Alligator mississippiensis: one gene and its partner. The protein of the gene in region 1 purifies or fractionates together with the protein of each later gene. This does not show direct contact. Links are inferred from orthologs where the notes say so. Each region holds a gene or a part of one and is shown on either strand. Other genes may lie near its edges.

What was found.
Region 2: the proteins of RRM2 (region 1) and CCNF purify together in Homo sapiens (affinity purification with western blotting; 5 studies listed by BioGRID and IntAct, with this or other methods). This does not show direct contact. The link is inferred for Alligator mississippiensis from reciprocal best matches to the Homo sapiens genes RRM2 and CCNF.

Annotation. Positions count from the first base shown.
Region 1 is NC_081824.1:30,487,876-30,498,059, forward strand, and holds the start of RRM2 (ribonucleoside-diphosphate reductase subunit M2), read right to left. Parts: upstream 4,208-10,184; 5' UTR 4,155-4,207; coding exon 4,059-4,154; intron 3,970-4,058; coding exon 3,892-3,969; intron 3,774-3,891; coding exon 3,627-3,773; intron 1,789-3,626; coding exon 1,672-1,788; intron 1,091-1,671; coding exon 957-1,090; intron 53-956; coding exon 1-52. UniProt on the Homo sapiens protein: Provides the precursors necessary for DNA synthesis. Catalyzes the biosynthesis of deoxyribonucleotides from the corresponding ribonucleotides. Inhibits Wnt signaling.
Region 2 is NC_081836.1:27,359,344-27,369,602, forward strand, and holds the start of CCNF (cyclin-F), read right to left. Parts: upstream 4,123-10,259; 5' UTR 4,029-4,122; coding exon 4,016-4,028; intron 1-4,015. UniProt on the Homo sapiens protein: Substrate recognition component of a SCF (SKP1-CUL1-F-box protein) E3 ubiquitin-protein ligase complex which mediates the ubiquitination and subsequent proteasomal degradation of target proteins.

The DNA of each region.
Region 1 (10,184 bases):
AGCTTTCTTTTTAACACATGGCAGAGTTTCAATAGCATTGAAAAGAAATTCCCTGAAGAAAGTGTATAGTACATTAGACAGAAGTCTACATGGCAGACTATTCAATAAGCATTTGCTAAGAGTTGTCATTAAAAGTGCTGTCACTGAAGCAGCTTTAACTGCCTGCAGCTGATGTATTTTTAAATGTAAAGACCTTGGGGGCTGAGATTTTTGTACCACTCCAACTCTGTCATCCTGGCCGATCAACTGAGCACATTTACCCAGGGTTTTCAATGCAACAGTCAGTCCTCACACAAGGCAGCAATATGGCTTTGAAATTAGCCTTAAAATTGTGGGGGATTTTGTTTTTGTTGTTGCTGTGGGGTTTTGTTTTGTTGTTTTTTTTAATTGCTCAATCTGTAATACTTTTTAGACTGATAGTCTTGGAGCTAACCCATTTCCACATCACCAGTTTTCAAAAAGGAACTTGTTCTTTGGATGGCAGTTTTTAAGCTTTATGTACATGTTGCTGTCAAAAAGGAATGTGTGCTTTGTTGCATTAGAAACTACTGGTTTAAAAATAGTTCAGCAAAGTGTCACATATTTCAGTTACCTTGAAAGGCAGTACCAAAGTGGAGATTTAGTCAAAAGAGCTGTTGTAGTTCTCAAAGAAACGCAGTACTGGGTCATTTATCTGTTCACTGGCTAATGCAATGAAGGCTTAGTCCTCTACAGCATAAACAAAATAGTTTGAACGTTCTACCTACATCTTCAACTTACCATCGCTTGTCATTTATACTTGACAAATTCTGTTTGCATAATGTTTTGCCTTCCTGCTCTACCACCAGATTGTTCTCAACCATGTTTACCAATGCTTTGACCATCCTAACTTACTATCTTCCAAAAAAATCAGACCTCTCCATCTTTTCTTGCCTCCACTTAAAATAATTAAGCCTTTTACGATATATGATACTAACCTGTCTTTTGGATCTTTTATGTAAGTGTCGATAAGCAGACTGTACATTTCTGAATGAATGTTTTCCATGGCAATCTGGAAGCCATAAAAACAGCGAGCTTCTGTGATCTGCACTTCTTGGCTAAAACGCTCCACCTAAAGGAGAAACCGAATAATTAAACATTTATAGAAATAACAACCAACTACAGGTTGCAACAGAGCTATGAATCCACACAAGCATATTTAAGTAAGTCACGATAACTAGGAATAAGACAGGATAGTTCAATATTCAGAACTTATTCTGGTAACACAAGTTAGAATACCAGCATTCCTTTGGCTCTGTGTCCCAGAAAAGTGCCTCCATTTTAAAAAGGAGGAGATCTGGAGACTGAGTGATCTGCCTAAAAGCCAAACTAGAATTAGTGACCGAATGAAGAATAAAACCCAATCTACTCCAACCCTTTGTATTCTCTTTATAAAAAAAAGAAAAACAAAAACTCTGCTTTGTACTCATCAGGGAAGTTTACTGCCAAAAATGCAGATTCTAGTCTAAGGAACAATGCTGGCTTTAGGGAAAAAACAAGGCCTCCTTCCAAAAAAAGCAAACAAACCCAGAAGTGTTTAATAGGTTTTGGAGCAGAGCAGTCCGTTAGTAAACATCTTATGTTGTTATCTGGTTAGCTCCACGCTAGCCCAACTGCTTACGATTTAAACAGGACTGCTCTTCATACACTCACCAAGTTTTCATTTACAATGCCATCACTTGCTGCAAAGAAGGCTAGGACATGCGATATGAAGTATTTCTCCTCAGGCTTGAGGGACTCCCAGTGCTGAATATCTTTTGAAAGATCCACCTAACAAACAAAAAAAACCAAACAGGCAGCAATTCATCATTGTCATGATTGGAAAATATAGGGTTTGGGGTTTAATATATTGCATTAGACCCATTAGGTCCCATTCTCAGTCTTCCTTCAACCTATAATCCCCGCCCCCAAAAAACAGTTATGAAATTAGAGGTGTGATCCTAGAACAGGGGTGGGCAATTATTTCAGTTGCATGGCCACCTAATGAGTTTTGGTAAGCTGTCAAAGGCTGCATAAATATTTCAGACGATATCATTTTAACAAGTTAACAGATCAGATCCTAAATACCAAACATCTACTGCACTTTAATTTTAATTAAAAAAAAATATTTTTGCCTTGACTTATTATGCAATCACCTCTATGTGTACTAAAAGTATAGCTCAAAAACAGTCTCACTCTTGTATGTGGGGGGGGGTATGCAGGTGCCTGTGAAGGGAGGGGGGGAGGGGTGTACAAGTTGTAGCAGTGTTGGTCTACAAGCAAGAAGGAATAAGAACTCTTGGTAGAGGTGATATCTTATTAGACCAGCTGGATATTTGCAAAAAGTATTTGCAAGCTTTCAGGGACATGTGAGGGAGTAGGCATGTGGGGCGAGTGTAGGGTGTGGAGGGCATGCAACAGAGCTCGTCCAGACAGGTTGCAGACACGTCACCCTCCCCTCCCCCACTAGGCTGCCTCAGTGGCACTCTGCATGGGGCTAAGCCCCACCTACTCCTGCCCAGGGCAGCCCATGCCACATTCCCACCTGCCAAATAGCACTGCCAAGGTCTGTGTGCGCAGCTTCCCAGCAGGGCTGCTCCCAGTGCTACTTGCCCCCTATGTCCAGCAGCTCTTCCTCCTGCTGCACTGCTCCAAACAGTGAGGCACCACACATGTAGCCAGCAAGGGGGAAGTTACAGCTCCCATGCCAACATGTGGGACTATAACTCCAGGTTGCCTTCCATCTAGTCAGCTGCCTAGCAGGGTGCTCATTGTGCCAGGCAATTGAAGTAGATGGAAGGCAGCTAGGAGATGAAGCCCTACACACTGGGGCAGGAGCCACCAGGCTGCAGCTTCCCCCACACCTGGCTGGGCATCTGCTGCCCAGCATGCATCCCCACAAAATGGTACAGGGGCAGGTGGAAGAGGAGATAGGTGGGAAATCAAGCAGCACCCAGGCAGCTGCAGCTACACCAGGAGCAGCTCTGTGGGTGAAACTGTGCACACTGGCTAGGATGGTGCTGCCTGGTGGGTGGGGGGGAAGGAATGGGCAGGACTCACCCCACACAGAGGGCCGCAGGGGTGGGGGGCAGCCAGGCTGGATACAACTGAATTGGTGGATGCCTGTCCATGGGCAGGATCCAATAAGTTGACAGGCCAGATCCAGCCTGTAGGCTGTATTTTATTCACCCCTGCCCTAGAGCCATAGCAAGTTGCAATGAAGTTTCCAACTACCTTAAATTTTTTTCACTTGAGAAGTGCTCAGGTGCTGGTGTCTAGGCATGTGTATATGTACAGATGTAACTAGACACCAGGTGCATGCACCTGAGCGCTTCTCAAATGAAAAATTCAAGGCAGCCAGCTGAGTGCAAGAAGCGAACCCTGGAAGGAACAGCAACAGGGTAGCCTCCTTTGCTTGATACCCCACAGATCAAAGTATTGGAGACCTCCAAGCCCCTGCGGCCCCCCGGGTTTTGCCATGGGGATCATTTTAAAGCCACAGGGCTACTTTAAAGCCATTGTCTGGTCCCTGGGTAGGTGCTATCAGGAGCCCAGTTGTGTTGAGTGGGGATCCCGGCTGCCGCCCCCACTGCCGGGAGCAGCTGCCTGATGCCCCGGGCCGCACTCACCTCCTCGGCGGTCCAGAAGGAGGCCTCAGCCTTCTTGTACATCTGCCACACGTCGTGGTACTGCACGGGGAAGATGACGAAGCGGCGCGGATTCTCCCGCAACAGCGGCTCGTCTTCCGGCCGGTGCGGGACGGGCTCCGGCGGCGCCTGCAGGACACGCGGGGAAGGTCACGGGGGGCCGTGGCAGCGAGAAGTGGCGGGAAAACAGCACGTGGGGGGGGGGGTTGGCGGGAACGGAGCACGTGTGGGGAGGGGGCGCACTCACCGGCTTGGCGTCCGCGTCCTGGAAGATCTTCCGCGCCGCGCGGCTGGCCAGGATCCGCGTGCTGCTCAACGTCGGTGGCTGCGGGGAGAGAAGGGGAAACGGGGCATGAGCAGGGCGCGGGCGGTGGCAGCGGCTCCGAAGCCGGCTGGCCTGGGGCAGGCACTCACCGTGTTCTCCTTGTCGCTCAGCGCCAGGTGCTTCATGGGCGACAGGCGCGGCTGGTCGTTGCGGGCCGAGAGCGGGGCGCGGGCGGGCTGCATCATGATGCTAGTGCTGCTGGCGGCGGCTGTGACAGGGCGCAGGGCAGGAACTGGCGCCGGCGGCCGAGACCCTTTATATCCCCCTTCGAACTTGGCGCCCGAACGCCGCGCCCACCAATGGCAGCGCGAGCCGGCCTCAGAGCTGCGCTCCCATTGGTCCGAGTGGCCGCCGGGCCACGCCCTCCATTGTACATGAACGCGGGAAGAGGGGCCAAGCCCGTCCCCTCCGCGCTGCCATTGGCCGGAGCTGCTGGCCTGGCCACGCCCCCTGCACAGAACAACCGCGGGAGCTGCAAGCGGCCCCTTCCCGCGCGAATTCTGGCGCGTCGCCTCTCGGGATGGCCCCTCCCCCACGGCCAGGCCCGCAGCGCGGAGCTTGGGAGGGGTCCACGTCCCAGTCCCGGTCCCCAGCACACGGGGATTAGACGGCGCCTGGGGCTTGCGATGCCACAAGCTGGTAGCGGGGTCGGGTGCAGAGACACAACTCCAGGCAAACCCGGAGATTGCACACAGGAATCCGTGTTCTGCCCATCCGTCTGCTGTGGGCTTTCTGGGGGTCTTGGCAACAGAAGAATTCATCAAGTCCTAGAGAAGTCGGGTGGAGGGGACCTCCAGAGCTCATCCAGTCTGGCCCCCTGCCTGAGGCAACATCACCGCCATCCCAGCCATCCTATAAAGTCATAATCTAAACTCTGCTCAGCCCTGACACAACACAAACTAATGCCCTCACCTGCTGCAGGTAAAGCAGGGGAACCCCTGGCAGCCAAAATCCTACTTCTATTTATTTCAATCTAGTTGAAGTATTTCAGTGTATTTCATGTGTTTCAGCACATGCTCAAAAGAGATCTGGGGTACAGACCCCTGCCCCCCCCCCTCTGAATTAAGGCTAAAAAAACCCCAAAACCCACAGTCTGTGCCAGTCTGACTATGGGGTAAAATCTTTCTGCCCCCAAATACAGTAAGTGGTCTGACCATGAGCAGAGGGGCAAGACCATCTAGCCAGGAACCTCTGGCTTTGGTCCCAGGAGGAGCATTGGCACGCCCCACAGTCCCCAGCCTTGGCTGTAGCCAACACCCAGTGCCTCTGAGGGAGGCTTGAAAACATCCCCACACATGTAGCAGAAAGGGGGCTGGGGGAGGGCAGGGCAAAGTTCAGAAGTAGAGGAGATACCCACAGTAAAATATAGGCATAGCTATGCCTCGATCAGCTCTGGCCCTGTGGCTGTCCAATTTCTTGAAGACCTTCAGTGACAGAATCCATAGGCGATGCGTTGGGGGGGGGGGGGACATGTGCCCCCCCTGAGATTGGCTGCTGCCAGCTTCTGTGGGTGATCACCACTCACCACCCCATTCCCTCCCCCCTCGCCGCCGATGCTACTGCCTACAAATGATGCCCCCCTGTCTCAGGAGGCACCAGTCGTTCATGGGAGAATCAACAACTTCTCTGGGCAGGCTATTCCAATGTCTTGCTGTTCTAATACTCTAGTATTTTTCTGAAGTCAAAAAAGAGTGACAACTAGGAGCTGGCATTTTCTGAGAGTGCCCTGGGTCTGAAACCACAGGATTATACAAAAATAGGGCCAGAAGGGGCCTTATGAGGTCACCTACTCCAGGCCCCTGCTCAAGGCAAGAGCTGATTCTATTCTGTGGCAATGATTCCCACTGATAAACACAGGCTGTGTAAGAAGAGGTTTCCTTTTATATGCTTCAGAACTCCTACCTCCCCATTGAATGCCCTTCTGTTCTTTGTAAAGGAAAATGAGAGACCCTGCTTGAGGCCGTGCACAATTGTTGCCAGCTCTTGTGCATTCTTTGCACACGAATTTGGCAGGGCAGGAGCAGGTCTCCCACAGTAGAAGTTCCAGCCACACCTAAATGTCAGCGGTGCTTGGGAGGAAACAGCCTCTCACAGCAGCCAACACAGCTCCTGCAGGAAGTACTCTCTCCCTGCCTTCAAGAGGCCACAATATAAGCACAAAGGAAAAGAAAGAATCCTCTAATCCTTCACACTCCAGTAAGCACAGGAATGGGACCTAGTGTAGGAAGGCGGGGAGGACATAGTATATTGCTTCCCCCTTCCCAGCCTGGGGAAAAGGTGAGGGTGAAGAGCCCCAAGAGCTGCTGGGAGACAACACCAATGTGTGGTTTGGCCCTCTTATAGCAGGGACAAAAAACCCCTTATTTAGGAGCACTAAAAACAGTAATTAATTATCACACACAGGAGCAGCAGGGAGGCTTCAAAAATCACTATGCAGATGAATATATGTTTTTTTTAAACAAACCTCACTGACTGGGGGGAGGACTAACTCAGGATTTTTGAACCTTTGGAATTGACAAAAAATGTACTTTTGTTTTGCTTTTTTTCCAAAGCTATCATATCCTTTCTTGTTCATCGTTTCTCCAGCCTACAATCCTAAAGACTCCTCTCCCAGCTCCTATTGAAATCTCTTCATAAGTTTCATGATTTTTGTTCCTGGTTTCTGGATCACTTCTATTACAATTACATCCTTTTTTTTTTAACTAGGACTGACTACAGAATACTATATGAAAAGGTGGCAGTGAGAGAAGAGATGTATGTACTGGCATCAATTAGAATATATTTAATTAGTAGATGGTTCAGAATCAGCAGTCTAGAAGTGTGTGTGGGTGGTTGCAAAAAAGAAAAACCTTCAGAGTGAATGTTACTGAAGCAGGAATGTCCAAAGCCTTGTCAAGATGGGCACGTTTTACGGGTTTAACTTAAATTTGCTTTTAAACTACTACAACTGAATCAGTGCTGTTCCTGTAATGAATTATGATTTAAAGAGTAGATCAAGTCAGTCTTTTTTTTCATTTAAATTTGTTCCCAATTAACTCAAGCTAAAACAATAAAAGCCCTCCTTATATCATCCTTATATCCCTAGATTACACAAGGGATTTGTAATGTTTTAACTATATTGTTTTAAATATATATTTGAAAAGCCTTGCTTACATGAGGAAATGTACTCGGATAATTATATCCCTACAGTTATATGGCTGTGACTGCCCAGGCACATATTTTTATTCCAGCTAAGAATGTCCATGTAGGGAGTTATACTGGTATAATTATAGCAGAATAATTATACTGTACATATCCTCATGTAGGCAAGCCCTTTATGTTATACCTGTGTAATATTTCCCCTGCAGAAAAGACCCGATTGATATGCACACGGCGTTCTGTACTATCATTTCAGGCTGGGAACTGCTACATATATTCCACCAGTGTAAATATAGTGCAGCAGGTGTACCACTAAAATTATACCAGTCGTTTCTTCACATAGACACATACTGATATACCAGAACAACTTTCCCCACAAAGATGAGGCCTGGCTGAGGTACACACAGCCTGAAATAGTTCACAGAACTGTTTTCCTTATTTTAGTTGGGGGTTAGCTCAAGACCTAATTTAATATAAACAGTGGCATCCATTTCACACCCAACAAAGTATGCCAAAGAGGAAGAGAGAATTAACAGCTTACATCTTCCAAAGACTTAAGCAAGTGCTTAACTTCATCCTAGAGGGTCTAAAAGTAGATTCCCTATGTGTTATAGATGTGGAAAAGAGGGAACAGCATAAATAGTGCGTCATGGGCTGAATCAAGAATCTGTAGCCACCCACCCTACACAGAAGGATATGCCCAAATTGCAACAGAGTCTGTTAATCCTAGATTGGCCACATCAGCCGTCTTCAGATTCACAGATAAAACAATCATGGAAATCAATCATCCTTGAGACTGCAAGGGATTGCTGAAGAAGAAGATAGACCTGCTTTGATCTTTGCAGGATCAGGGCATCTACTCCAAATTTCTTTTTAAATTTTGGTATCAAAAGTTGGGTTTATGCTGGAGCATGGAAGAAAATCACTATTCTCCTCCCTCCCATCTGATTGCTGTTTCCGGTGGGAAGACTTGTTTTGGTGGAAGATCATCTGTGTATATACACACCACTTTCACATATCCCTCCCCACCCCCTTTTTTTTTTTTTTAAACAGACAGCTGCTAGAAAGGGAAAAAGACCTGAAAATAGTTAGAAAGAAATAAAGAACTGAAGGCAACTATCAATGGAGGTTTCTCAGAAGCAAGGGAGTGTGACACTGTGGAAGTTAAGGATTAAAGGGTAGAATGAGCAAGTGATCACAAGCAGAAGAAAACGACAGCCAGAGAAGCGGCCAGAGCATAAACTGTAGTTGGAAAGGTCCCAACTGCAGAGCTTTGCAGAGCCTGGAAGGCTGCAGACAAGACCCTTGTTGCCACACAATGTTCTACTAGCAGAACTACGTCAGCTAAGGGTGTCCTGGAGCCAATATAACTTCACCAGCAAAACCCGCAGTGCAGATACAGCCTCAGTGTGGATGTACAGAGCTTCTACACAGGGAGAACTCCTGTAGCTGTGGCAGCAGAAAATCTCCCATCTGCTAAAAGACCCACACAGTAAACTGCCTCAGTACCACTGCTGTAGCTGAAGCAGTAGAACTTCCCTAATATAGGCAAAGCCAAGGAATTTTATATCAATGCAGAGCAAGAGTAATAAATATTGATGGTAATGTATTATTATTAAACTAGCAAACTGCCCATCAAGAATGATAGAGGAAAGGGAGCTGGCAGGGAAGAAGCCCCATGTCCATAGTTTCATAGTTGGTAGGGTTGGAAGGGACCTGAGCAGATCATCAAGTCCGACCCCCTGCCATGGGCAGGAAAGAATGCTGGGGTCAAAAGACCCTGGCAAGGTGTCTATCTAGCCTCCTTTTAAAGACCCCCAGGGTAGGAGCAAGCACCACTTCCCTTGGAAGTTGGTTCCAGATCCTAACTGTCCTGACAGTGAAGTAGTGCCTCCTGATATCTAGCCTGAATCTACTCCATCAACTATCTCCATCTATCTCCATCAACTTATGGCCATTATTCCTTGTTACTCCCAGTAGTGCTCGGGGAACAGGGACTCTCCCATTGCCTGCTGGCCTCCCTTGGCCAGTTTATAGACAGCCACCAGATCCCCTCTCAGCCTTCTCTTGTGAAGGCTGAACAGGTTCAGGTCCGTAGCCTCTCCTCATAGGGCCTGCCCTGCTGCCCCCTGACCATGCGAGTGGCCCTCCTCTGGACCCTCTCCATGTTGTCCACATCCCTCCTGAAGTGCAGCACCCAGAACTGAATGCAGTACTCCAACTGCAGCCTGACCAACGTCGTATAGAGGGGGAGGATCACCTTGGACCTGCCTGTGATGCATCTGTGGATGCATGACAAGGTACAGTTAGCCTTCCTGACTGCATCCCTAATTGGCGGCCCATGTTCATCTTGGAGTCAATAGTGACTCCAAGATCCTTTTCTGCCTCTGTGCCGACAAGAAGGGAGTTCCCCAGCCTGTAGGTATGCTGCTGGCTCTTTCTCCCTCGGTGCAGTAACCTGCACTATTGAATCCCATCTTATTCTCATCTGCCACCCCTGTAACCTGTCCAGATCCAATTGCAGCCTGTCCCTCCCTTCTAGTGTGCCCACTTCTCCCCACATCTTAGTTTCATCTGCAAATTTGAACAAGGTGCTTTTTGGGTGCCACTTCGGGTCTGACCCCACTCCCCCTATTACCCCTCCTTCCCCATGCTTCAGGTCTGACCCTGCTCCACCCCCTTCCCCACCCTCCGCCCTGTTTTGGCAGAATATTTTTAACATTATGGATTTCTCTTTGAAAAACCTGGGTTTATCTTGTGAATCATGTTTACACACCTAACAGTATTAACATTGCATGGCACCATCCCACACTCTTGAAAGGACAGTTCAACTAGTGTGAGACACTATTACAGCTGGTACATGCTATGCACTAGGCAGCATATTTTTTCAGGTGCATGCTTCTTTTCTTCCTTTAGGGAAAATTTAAGCATACTTTTTCAGTTCTTATACAACTACATAAGACAACCTAGCCTAGAGCTTAAAATTGAATTCAAGCTTCTGCTGGCCCTTCTCCTTTCTTTACATAACCCAGTAAAATTATCACAATCACCAGTTTACCAATGAACTTAGAAGCTTG
Region 2 (10,259 bases), on another chromosome or scaffold:
CTACTTTTCAGTGATCAAAGACTAGGCAGATTCTCTCTGAGCTACTAGGTAACAGGGCCGTGCGAAATTTCACCCAGTGTTTCATTTCAAAGTTGTTTCAATGCGTTTCCAGCTTGAAACAGCAAAATCGAAACAAAACTAAAGCCTTCAAAACAGCTTTGAAATTAAACAAGGGAACTCAAAACATTTCGAAAAGTTTCGAAACATTTCGAGTTTCAAAGCCAGGCTTACTGGCTTCAGCACCAGTCCCAGCTGGCAGCACCTACTTCCTGTCATCTGGCAGGCAGATCGGGACTCGCCCACACCCCCGGGAGGGCTGTGGGGGGCTGTGCGAGCCCTTGATCTGTCTGCCAGATTACAGACTGGCACTGGGCACAGCCAGCACCAGGAAGATCAGTGCTGCACCTGGCTCCTGTCAGCTGGCAGGCAGATTGGGGGCACATAACCCCAGGATGACTCCAGCACAGCCCCCGCAGCACTCCCAGGGGTGCCGGCAGGCCCCTGATCTGCCTGCCGGCTGACAGGAGCTGGGTGCTGCTGCCTGAGGCCAGCGGGCCAGGGCAGATCAGCTCATGCAAGGACCCACTGCCCCAATCCCAGGGCGGAGGAGGGTCCCCGTACAAGCTAATCTGCCCCAGGCCCCACACTCGTCTGGAGCTGGCTTCAGTATGGGGCTGGGGATGATCAGCTTGTGTGGGGACCTGCTGCCCTGATCCTGGGGCTGGCTCCAGGCAGGTGCAGATCAGCTGGTGCAGGGACCCTTCCCTGCCCCCGGATCAGCATGGCGGGTCCCTGCACGAGCCGATCTGTCCTGGCCCCGCTGGCCCCAGGCAGCAGCACCTGGCTCCTGTCAGCTGGCAGGCAGATCGGGGGCCCGCCGGCACCCCTGGGAGGGTTGCGGGGGCCATGCCGGAGTCCTCCCAGGGGGTATGTGCCCCTATCTGCCTGCCAGCTGACAGGAGCTGGGTGCTGCCGCCTGGTGCCAGTGGCGGCACTGATCTTTTCAGTGCTGGGTGCAGGCTGCGCCCAGTGCCAGTCTGTCATCTAGCAGGCAGATCGGGAGCCTGCACTCCTTGGAGGACTCCGGCACAGCCCCCGCAGCCCTTCCAGGGGTGTGGGTAAGCCCCCGATCTGCCTGCCAGATGAGGAGCCAGGTGCTGCTGCTTGGGAGTGGCGGCAGCAGCGATCTCCTCAGCACTGGTCTCAGGCAGCGCACCAATCTTCTCTCATCTGGCAGGCAGATCAGGGGCCACACCCCTGGGAGGTCTCCGGCACAGCCCCGGCAGCACTCTCAGGGGTGCAGGCGAGCCCACGATTTGCCTGCCTGCTGCATTTTATGTTTCCCCATAACCTATGGGCAAAACATCAAAACAGTGTTGAAACAGCAAAACACTTTTGACGAAACGAAACGGAACAGTGCTTTCGAAACAAAACTAAACGAAACTCGAAACGAAACACTGTTCCGCTGAATTGTCAAAATGGAAGTCGAATTGGAACGGTGCTGTTTTACACAGCCCTACTATGTAGAGCTGTAAGCAGCAGCCCAAGGGAAGGAACTGCCCGTTGGCACCAGAGACACTGGGTCAGCATCTGGAAAGGGGCCTTTTTTTCACCTGGCTTGAAGTGCTGAAACCACACACTTAAAAAAACAGAGTTTAAATTCTGCAAAGGGAGTCATCGGCCTCCTCACCAAGCAGTTTTTCTTCTTGCCAACATCAAGTGTAGCTTTAAAGTTCAGCTTATAGGGCATTTATACACGCATCTTTACCTGCTCCAACATGCCAGAAATCCAGTGTGTCCGAGAAGACTCAGTTAATCAAGTCTGTGGAGCACACAATCTGATGTGCCCGGCGTTACATCGCCTACATTTGTATAAAGGGTGAAATGCGCATCAGTGCTAAGAAAATGGCGGCGGTGCACTTTTGAACTAAAACACCTTCGATTCATTTTAGTTCAAAAGTGCACTGCTGCCATTTTCTCAGCGCTGATGCACTTTTCATCATTTATACAAATGCATGCGATGCAGCACCAGGCACTTTTAAAAAGCACCTGACACTCTTGTTCCATGTATGTGTACAAATGCCTATAGATCTTATCCAATGAGATTCTGAATTTATTCAGAAAGTCTGATCAGCTGGGTTTTCCCCAGACTTTTCAGGAAGATTTAAGGAACAACCCCTTTGCAAGGATTTCATCATTTATTTGTAGGGCCACAGGGACTGATTTAGCTGAGGATGTGACAGAATGAAGAAACCCATTACTGTATAAGGCACTGGCTACCAACTTCTCTGAAAAAATTCTCCACCCCCATTTTTCACTATTTCAAAGAGGTGAAGGTTTGGGGGTTTTTTTTTAATGTTGTACTACTAGAAGGAGAGATTTTCTGTAGATTGCCTTCCTGGCCTGCTCTGTTTTCCATTCTCACTGTCACATTGTAACAGACCAGCATACAGAGAACCCTACAGCCAAGTGCTTCTCTGGTTCCCACCATGGAAAACACTGGGTGGCATAATTTAGGAGGGCAGAACCAAGATAGCTAGAGGGAAAAAGTCTGATTGGCTGCTTTTGAGCTTCCTCCCTAGGACCAGTGACACTGACGCAGGTTCAGAATTGCCTCACTGATTGGGAAATACCCAGCTGGAGGAACTATATTGCCCACTACAAGTTATAGGTATTTTTGCAAAGTAAAGTGGCCACATCCTATGCACCAGAATAGAACATCTTTTTATACCAAAAATGAATGCATCCCACTAATTCTTTTGAGATCAATGGCCACTGTTTCAGTGGGAGCCCCTTGCTATGTCAGTTACCTTTGAATAAAGATTATAGCTATGTGATAAGGGGCAATTCTGACATTGCCACTATCTGGCAGGTGTTCCTCTTCTCTTCTAGAATGAGATCTACTGTAAAGTAATAAGGCAACGCAATCTAGACTGATGTGTCAATGATGCCTTTAGTCAGATTTGAAGCCTGACTCATCAGCTCAGAGAACTGAAGCTGACAACACGGCTCCCCCGGCCAAGAACATTTAAGAGGAAGACTACCAAAAATTGCCACATGAGCTATAAACAAGCATGTTTGCACTGTGTGCACAGATTGTATCACCAATATATTCCAAGCAAGTCCTGATTAAATAGGCAAATGTACTATAAGTTCCTTCAGTTACTGAAGGCAATATGTTGTAGAAAGAGATCTAGCACTGCCTGCATGCCTGCAGCAAGAAACAAAATACATTAATCTCAGGCGTTTTTAAATATTCCTGTCCCATTTATGCAGAAAGAACAATTAAAAAATAATAATTTGTTAAAGTAACCTGGTTTCAGGAAAATATTCTTAGAAAACAAACACACAAATATAAGATGTAGGTGTAAGTGATTCACCTGTATGTATAAAACAGTTATTACATAATCATTAATTAGATGCTCTTCCACAGGTGACTAATAAGTAATTTACTTTGGAAGAGACTGTGTCTGCTCTGCACCTGAGGAGTCAGAAACACTTTTGCGAGGCAGGGGGGGCCGCCTCTCCCTTTGGAGGGAAGAGACTTGACGGCACAAGACAGGAGGTTGCTGCCCCCCCCCCCGCCATGAACGGAAGAGGAGCAGCCCAGCGCGGGCATCGCGGCCCGGCAGACGCTCCCCGGCCGCAGGCTCCCGCCGCCCGTGCTGGCCGGTCACGGCGGGCTCACACCTCGGACTTCGCTCTGGCATTTTATGGTCGCGGCACCCCGCGTCGACCCGCTGCGCCCCCCGGCGGAGGTGCCCGAGGTGCCCCCTGGCGGACCGGCCCCGGCCCCGGCCCCGGCCCCGGCCCGCGCAGTCCCTGCGGATTTTTAAATCCACCCGCCCAAAGCAGCGCCGCTCCCGGGCTCCAGCCAACCAGGGCCGGGCCGGGCCGGGCCAGGGCTCCCCGCGGCGGCCCCTGTCCGGGCCGGAGCCAGCTCCTGGGGCAGACGCACCCGACCGCCCGGGCCCCTCGCAGCGAGCCCGGCCAGGGCCCCGCGTCCCGCTCTCACCGTCCGCTCTCATGCCTGCCCCGCGCCGAGCGCCCCGCGACCCGAGTGGGCAGCAGCCGGTGCAGACTGAGCAGGCGGCCGGAGCCGAGGGCGGAGACCGGCCAGGGGCGGGGCCAGACCGGGCCACGCCCCCAGCACCGGGCCACGCCCCTCAGCCCCAGCTCGGGTCGGGCAGAGAGCGAGGCGAGCTCCGCCCAGGCCCCGACCCGGCCCCTGCTCCGCCGCCAGAACCCCGCCCCCTCCGCTTGCAGAGCGGCCCAAGCCACGCCCATCCACCGCGCGCACTTTTTTTCAAACCCAGCAGCCGTCCTGATTGGCTGCAAGGCCGGCGGGGCAGGCGGAGCGGCCTCGGCTCCGCCTCCTCCCCTCTGTCATTGGGCGCTCAGGATGCGAATTCGAATTGGGGCGGTTAGCGGCGCGCGCCGCTCGCGGGCTCTGGGGCCGAGGGGAGGCGCATGCGAAATGGCCCCGTCCTCCCCTGGGGGTGTGGGAGCGGGGTGAGCGCGGCCTGGCGAGGCTGTCTCGGGCCTTTCGTGCATCCTCTGTGCTGTCTATGGAAGGGCTCGGGCGCCTCATGGGGGGCCCTTGCAGGCAGAGCTGGGTGCGGAGGCGCTCGGAACTCGCAGGCCCCTGTCGCTCCGGCCACCTCAAGCTGCAGAGCACGAGTGGCCGCAGCCCTGCCAGTGCCCCACGCCCCCCGTGTGAGGCACATGCCCCGATTTGTGGGCACGGGCAGGAGCTGCCGCCACAGCCCAGCGCCTGGGACCCAGCGTGGGAGGGCGGAGCAGGGCGACAAGACTCGCGGCTGCCGCCACCACCACAGGGCCCCCGCGCCGCCAGCAGTGCTGGGCTCTGCTCCACCACCATGGCCTGGCTGCTGCCGCCGTCGCCACCACTGCCCTCCTGCCTCCTGCACTGCCTGCCGCCCACCGCCTCCAGGGTAGGGCCGCGGCCTGCAGGGGGCGGCAGCACTGGCTGCGCCATGCAACAGGGTAGAGGTGGGGGCAGCACAGCCCCCACCCATTACTCCTCATGCTGCTGGTGGCACGACTGGCGCTGGGGTCCTGGTGGCAGCAGCAACAAGCCTCGCTCCGCTCTCCTGCGTGCTGCGTCGCACGTCTGTGCTGGTCTGGTCTGGCCAGGCCAGGCTGCAGCCCCGTGCCTGCTGCGGATGCCCAAATCTGGGGGGACACATTGCCCCCCATAGACTTACCTGTGGGGAACTACAGGAGCTGCTTTCCAAGCTGCCTGGCTGCCACATGCATGTGTTGCCCCTTGCAAGCCGGCAGCTTGCAGGCTAACACTTTTCCACATTTTTCTCCTTTAAAGGAAAAAAACACGATTTTCCACATTTTTATGAGATTGTTTGAGACCTTTCATATATTTTTGGGCTGCACCCCATGGGTTGAAAAATGCTGCTCTAGACCATCCTATGTTTTCATCCCCCCCTCCCTCTGGCTCGGCAGGTATGCACAGCTGGAAAAGGGGTTAAGAGGAGGTGCTGGGAACTAGTGACTTCCGTGCCAAGTGGCACCAGCCTTCACCTCTAGTATTAGGGACCTCCGAATAGAGCTTCGATGTCAACAGCGTATGGGGAAAAGTTGCTTAAGATTTTAGACTGGGAGGCAGAAGGGGAAAGATAATAGCTGAAGAAGTCCAGGGAAACAGAAAGAAAAAGAACCAAAGTCTATAGCAGAAGAGTTAAAAAGTAATGTCTTCAGGATTAGGGAAAGGAGGACAAAGCACATGGGATGTTGGGAAAGGAAAGAAAAGGACAAATGAAACAGCCTTAGGAGGAAGTAACAGAGGTGCTCAGGAGAGAGAGAGAGAATGAAGATGCATCTTGAGGAAAATGGATAGGAGAGCAAGTCTGCTTCTGCAGAAGGGGCTGTACTTGTCATCCCTTGAAGATATTAGTGGGTTTTTAACAAGTTTGTGCACAAAGAAGACAACAGAAAGAAAAGCTCTTTGCAGGGTAGAGTAGTTCTCTGGAGACCATAAGCTGAGAGAGACTTTTCTTGTCCTTAGGTATGAGGACATAGCTCATACTGGTTGATACTCTCTTCTTGCTAGTATGTTAAATGATAGTAGGGTTTTCCATATCCTTGTGTGTGTGTTTACAGTATTGCTGCTGCTTTTATGTTTCTTATTTACTAGGTGGTCTAAGACAGTAGGAGATGATTATAGTAAAGGAGAGACAATATTTATATGAGCTCATGAAAATTAGCTAGGGAAACTTGGAAAGTAATAATAAAGGCATTTGCTTTGTACATTGTACACTTAATCTCAGGTGTTCCAAAATCTAACAAAAGAAATGTGTGCTCAATGTTTTTTTGTGGTTTTTTTTTTTTATTCTAGTACCCTGCTCTGTCCTCATATCCATCCCCACCAGAGGGGGTCACAACACCTAAGCCAGTCATGCACCCATTCTCTGAAGGGGATTATGTCCCAGTACAGCTGTTTCTGTCCATTTTATATAATATAAAGCTATATAAGCTATAATATCCCAGCACTTTTGTCTTTTCATATAAAATTAAACCAAAACATTCAATATGTAGCAATATTTTGTGTTTTTTAATTTCAAGGTGAACAAAGTAAATCTCAAAGCCACTTTCTTCTAACTCCTATCACTTAAAAATTATTTGTGTTTGCTCCTAAACTGAAAGGTGCATAGTAATGACTACACTTCTGCCTCTGCAACGGAATGGTGACTTCTGCTTACTCAAGAGAATTGTCAAAGCACATCTGGGTCTCTTATGCACAGGACAGCCAGTCACACAAGTCCTGCAATGTGAAAAGGGATTGTAAAAAGCTTTCATGCAGGTACAAGTTGTCTAATTAGCAAATTCTTTTTTTATTAATTATTCTGATGCTAGTAAAAAGTTGTAGATTGATAACTAGGATCTCTTATTTCCAAAGCTGGAGGGATCAAATATCCTACATTGCCTTTTCAGTGCATCTCAGCTGCAACTTTCCGATTAGGGAGGGGTTCCCCTCCCCCGCAACAGCCCAGCAGGGAGTTGATAACACAGTGTTTATCACCCCTCAGTGTTTATTAATAACAGCCTCTCATTAGTTCAAGCTCTTCTTAAACAACTTTTTCCAAGGAGGGACATTACCAGCTACCTGTTGATTAGCTCCCAAAAGCCCTAAGCTGACACTGTGCTGTCTGCCTTTGTCCTGTCTCCTGCAGCACAGACCATAGCCAGCATGTGGTATGCTAGCTAATGCTGAGAGGTGTCCGCATAAGACAGAGGGGAGGGGGGATCCCTGCTTGAGCAGGGGGTGAGGGGGAAGGGGAGAGCACGAGGGAGCAAGGCAGACCCCACTGTACCTGCAGTCTTTGCCAGAGCTGCAGCCAGGGAGCACAGGGGAGGAGCTAGCCTAGCTCTCTGGAGCAGAGAGCCCCACCCAGCCAAGTAAGCATGCCTGGATGCTAGGGGATTCTGATTTACCTTAAACCAGGATGGGGTCTGGGACAGATATTGCATAGACCAGTTTGGCCCAAATCAGTTAAGTCTGATACTACATTCAGCCAGATTTATCTCAAACCAGTTTCAGCCATTTTCAAACTGGTTAATGTGCACTGAACATCTCTTCTGTTACAGGTTTAAACCAGTTTCTGATCACTTAAACTGGTTTATCTGTAATGTCTGTCCCAGGGGTTGGAGGTCCTGCTCATCTTAACTAGGAACCTGGACTAGTGATGCTCAATCAGGGTGCCACGGCATCCTTTTAGGAGTGCTCTGTGGGGGCCCATGCAATTTTAGTATTGTTAGGATTCAAAAAATAAACCCAGAAGTTTCAAAAGGGAATTCATAGTGTCAAAACCATTCTGACCTGTTGTGGTCTGAAATCTTTTCAACAGAAGAATTGTTGATACTAGTTGAGAAGCTATTGTTACAGAGTTGAGAAATAAGTGAAAGCTAAGAGCTGGCATTTTTTGAGGGGTGCTTGAATCTAAAATAGTTGAGAAACACTAAAGCTAGACTGAGACTGCGAAATTCACCAACCGTCAGATAATAAATATATGCATTGCTTGCTTTTCTCTGAGGAACTCGGATACCGTGTCATTAATATTTTTCTCTCACAGATAGTGAAACTGAGATAGAGTAGCTAGATAACTTGTCTAAGGTCACACAGGAAGTCTGTGGCAGTGTTGAGACTAAGACTGAGGTTTGCAACCCTTCACTTCCTTGCTATCACCATTAGACTAAGGAGTCCCCAAACTTTTAAAGTGCAAATTTTAAGAGATTGTCATGGGGGTATTCTATGTTATCTCAATTTTGATCACACAAATTTGCTTCCCCTGTCACTTGTGGCTACATAATGTCTCTGTAGCACATAGAACAATTACTCATGTGAAAAAGTAATATTGGGAATGTTGTCCATGTTAATTTTAGCTTCTTTTCATGAGAAATGTTGTCCCTTTTGAAAAAAGTTGATCACGCTAGCTGCTTTTACTCTTCATCTCCCCCCTCACATCTGTTCTGTTTTTATAAATCATTTCAGCCAGAAACATGTGAACAGCTAGCTCCCTGAAGACTACCAGTTGTTCTCTGGCCCACTAGTGGCGCATACTGGTTTGGAGATTGCTATATTAGACCACGCTTCTAAATGTGGGGATTCATAGATTCATAGATGTTAGGGTCGGAAGGGACCTCAATAGATCATCGAGTCCGACCCCCTGCATAAGCAGGAAGGAGTGCTGGGTCTAGATGACCCCAGCTAGATGCTCATCTAACCTCCTCTTGAAGACCCCCAGGGTAGGGGAGAGCACCACCTCCCTTGGGAGCCCGTTCCAGACCCTGGCCACTCGAACTGTGAAGAAGTGTTTCCTAATGTCCAATCTAAATCTGCTCTCTGCTAGCTTGTGGCCATTGTTTCTTGTAACCCCCGGGGGCGCCTTGGTGAATAAATACTCACCAATTCCCTTCTGTGCCCCCGTGATGAACTTACAGGCAGCCACAAGGTCGCCTCTCAACCTTCTCTTGTGGAGGCTGAAAAGGTCCAGTTTCTCTAGTCTCTCCTCGTAGGGCTTGGTCTGCAGGCCCTTGACCATACGAGTTTCCCTTCTTTGGACCCTCTCCAGGTTATCCGCATCCTTCTTGAAGTGTGGCGCCCAGAATTGCACGCAGTACTCCAACTGCGGTCTGACCAGCGCCCGATAGAGGGGAAGTATCACCTCCTTGGACCTATTCGTCATGCATCTGCTGATGCACGATAAAGTGTCATTGGCTTTTCTGATGGCTTCGTCACACTGCCGGCTCATGTTCATCTTGGAGTCCACTAGGACTCCAAGATCCCTTTCCACCTCTGTGCCACCCAGCAGGTCATTCTCTAGGCTGTAGGTGTGCTGGACATTTTTCCACCCTAGGTGCAGCACTTTGCATTTCTCCTTGTTGAACTGCATCCTGTTGTTTTCTGCCCACTTGTCCAACCTATCCAGGTCTGCCTGCAGCTGTTCCCTGCCCTCCGGCGTGTCCACTTCTCCCCATAGCTTTGTGTCATCTGCAAACTTGGACAGAGTATATTTGACTCCCTCGTCCAAGTCGCTGATGAAGACATTAAAGAGTATCAGTCCAAGGACCGAGCCCTGCGGGACCCCACTGCCCACACCCTTCCAGGTCGAGACCGACCCATCTACCACGACTCTCTGGGTGCGACCCTCTAGCCAATTCGCCACCCACCGGACTGTGCAGTCATCCACATCACAGCCTCTTAACTTGTTCACCAGTATGGGGTGGGATACCGTATCGAAGGCCTTCCTGAAGTCTAAGTATACGACATCCACCCCTCCTCCTGTGTCCAGGCGTTTCGTAACCTGGTCATAGAAAGAGACTAGATTGGTCAGGCACGATCTGCCCGCCACAAACCCGTGCTGGTTTCCCCTCAGCATAATTTGCCCTGCCGGGCTCTCACAAATGTGAGCCTTGATAATTTTTTCAAAGACTTTACCAAGGATGGAGGTGAGACTGACCGGCCTATAGTTGCCCGGGTCCTCCTTCCTCCCCTTTTTGAAAATGGGGACCACGTTAGCCCTTTTCCAGTCCTCTGGGACTTGGCCCGTGCGCCACGAGCGTTCAAATATTCCCGCCAGTGGCTCTGCAATGATGTCGGCCAGTGCCTTCAGCACCCTCGGATAAAGCTCATCCGGGCCTGCTGACTTAAAGGCATCCAGTTCTTCCAAGTGACTCTGCACCACCTCAGGATCTACGCATGGAAGTCTGGCGCCTTGCTGCTG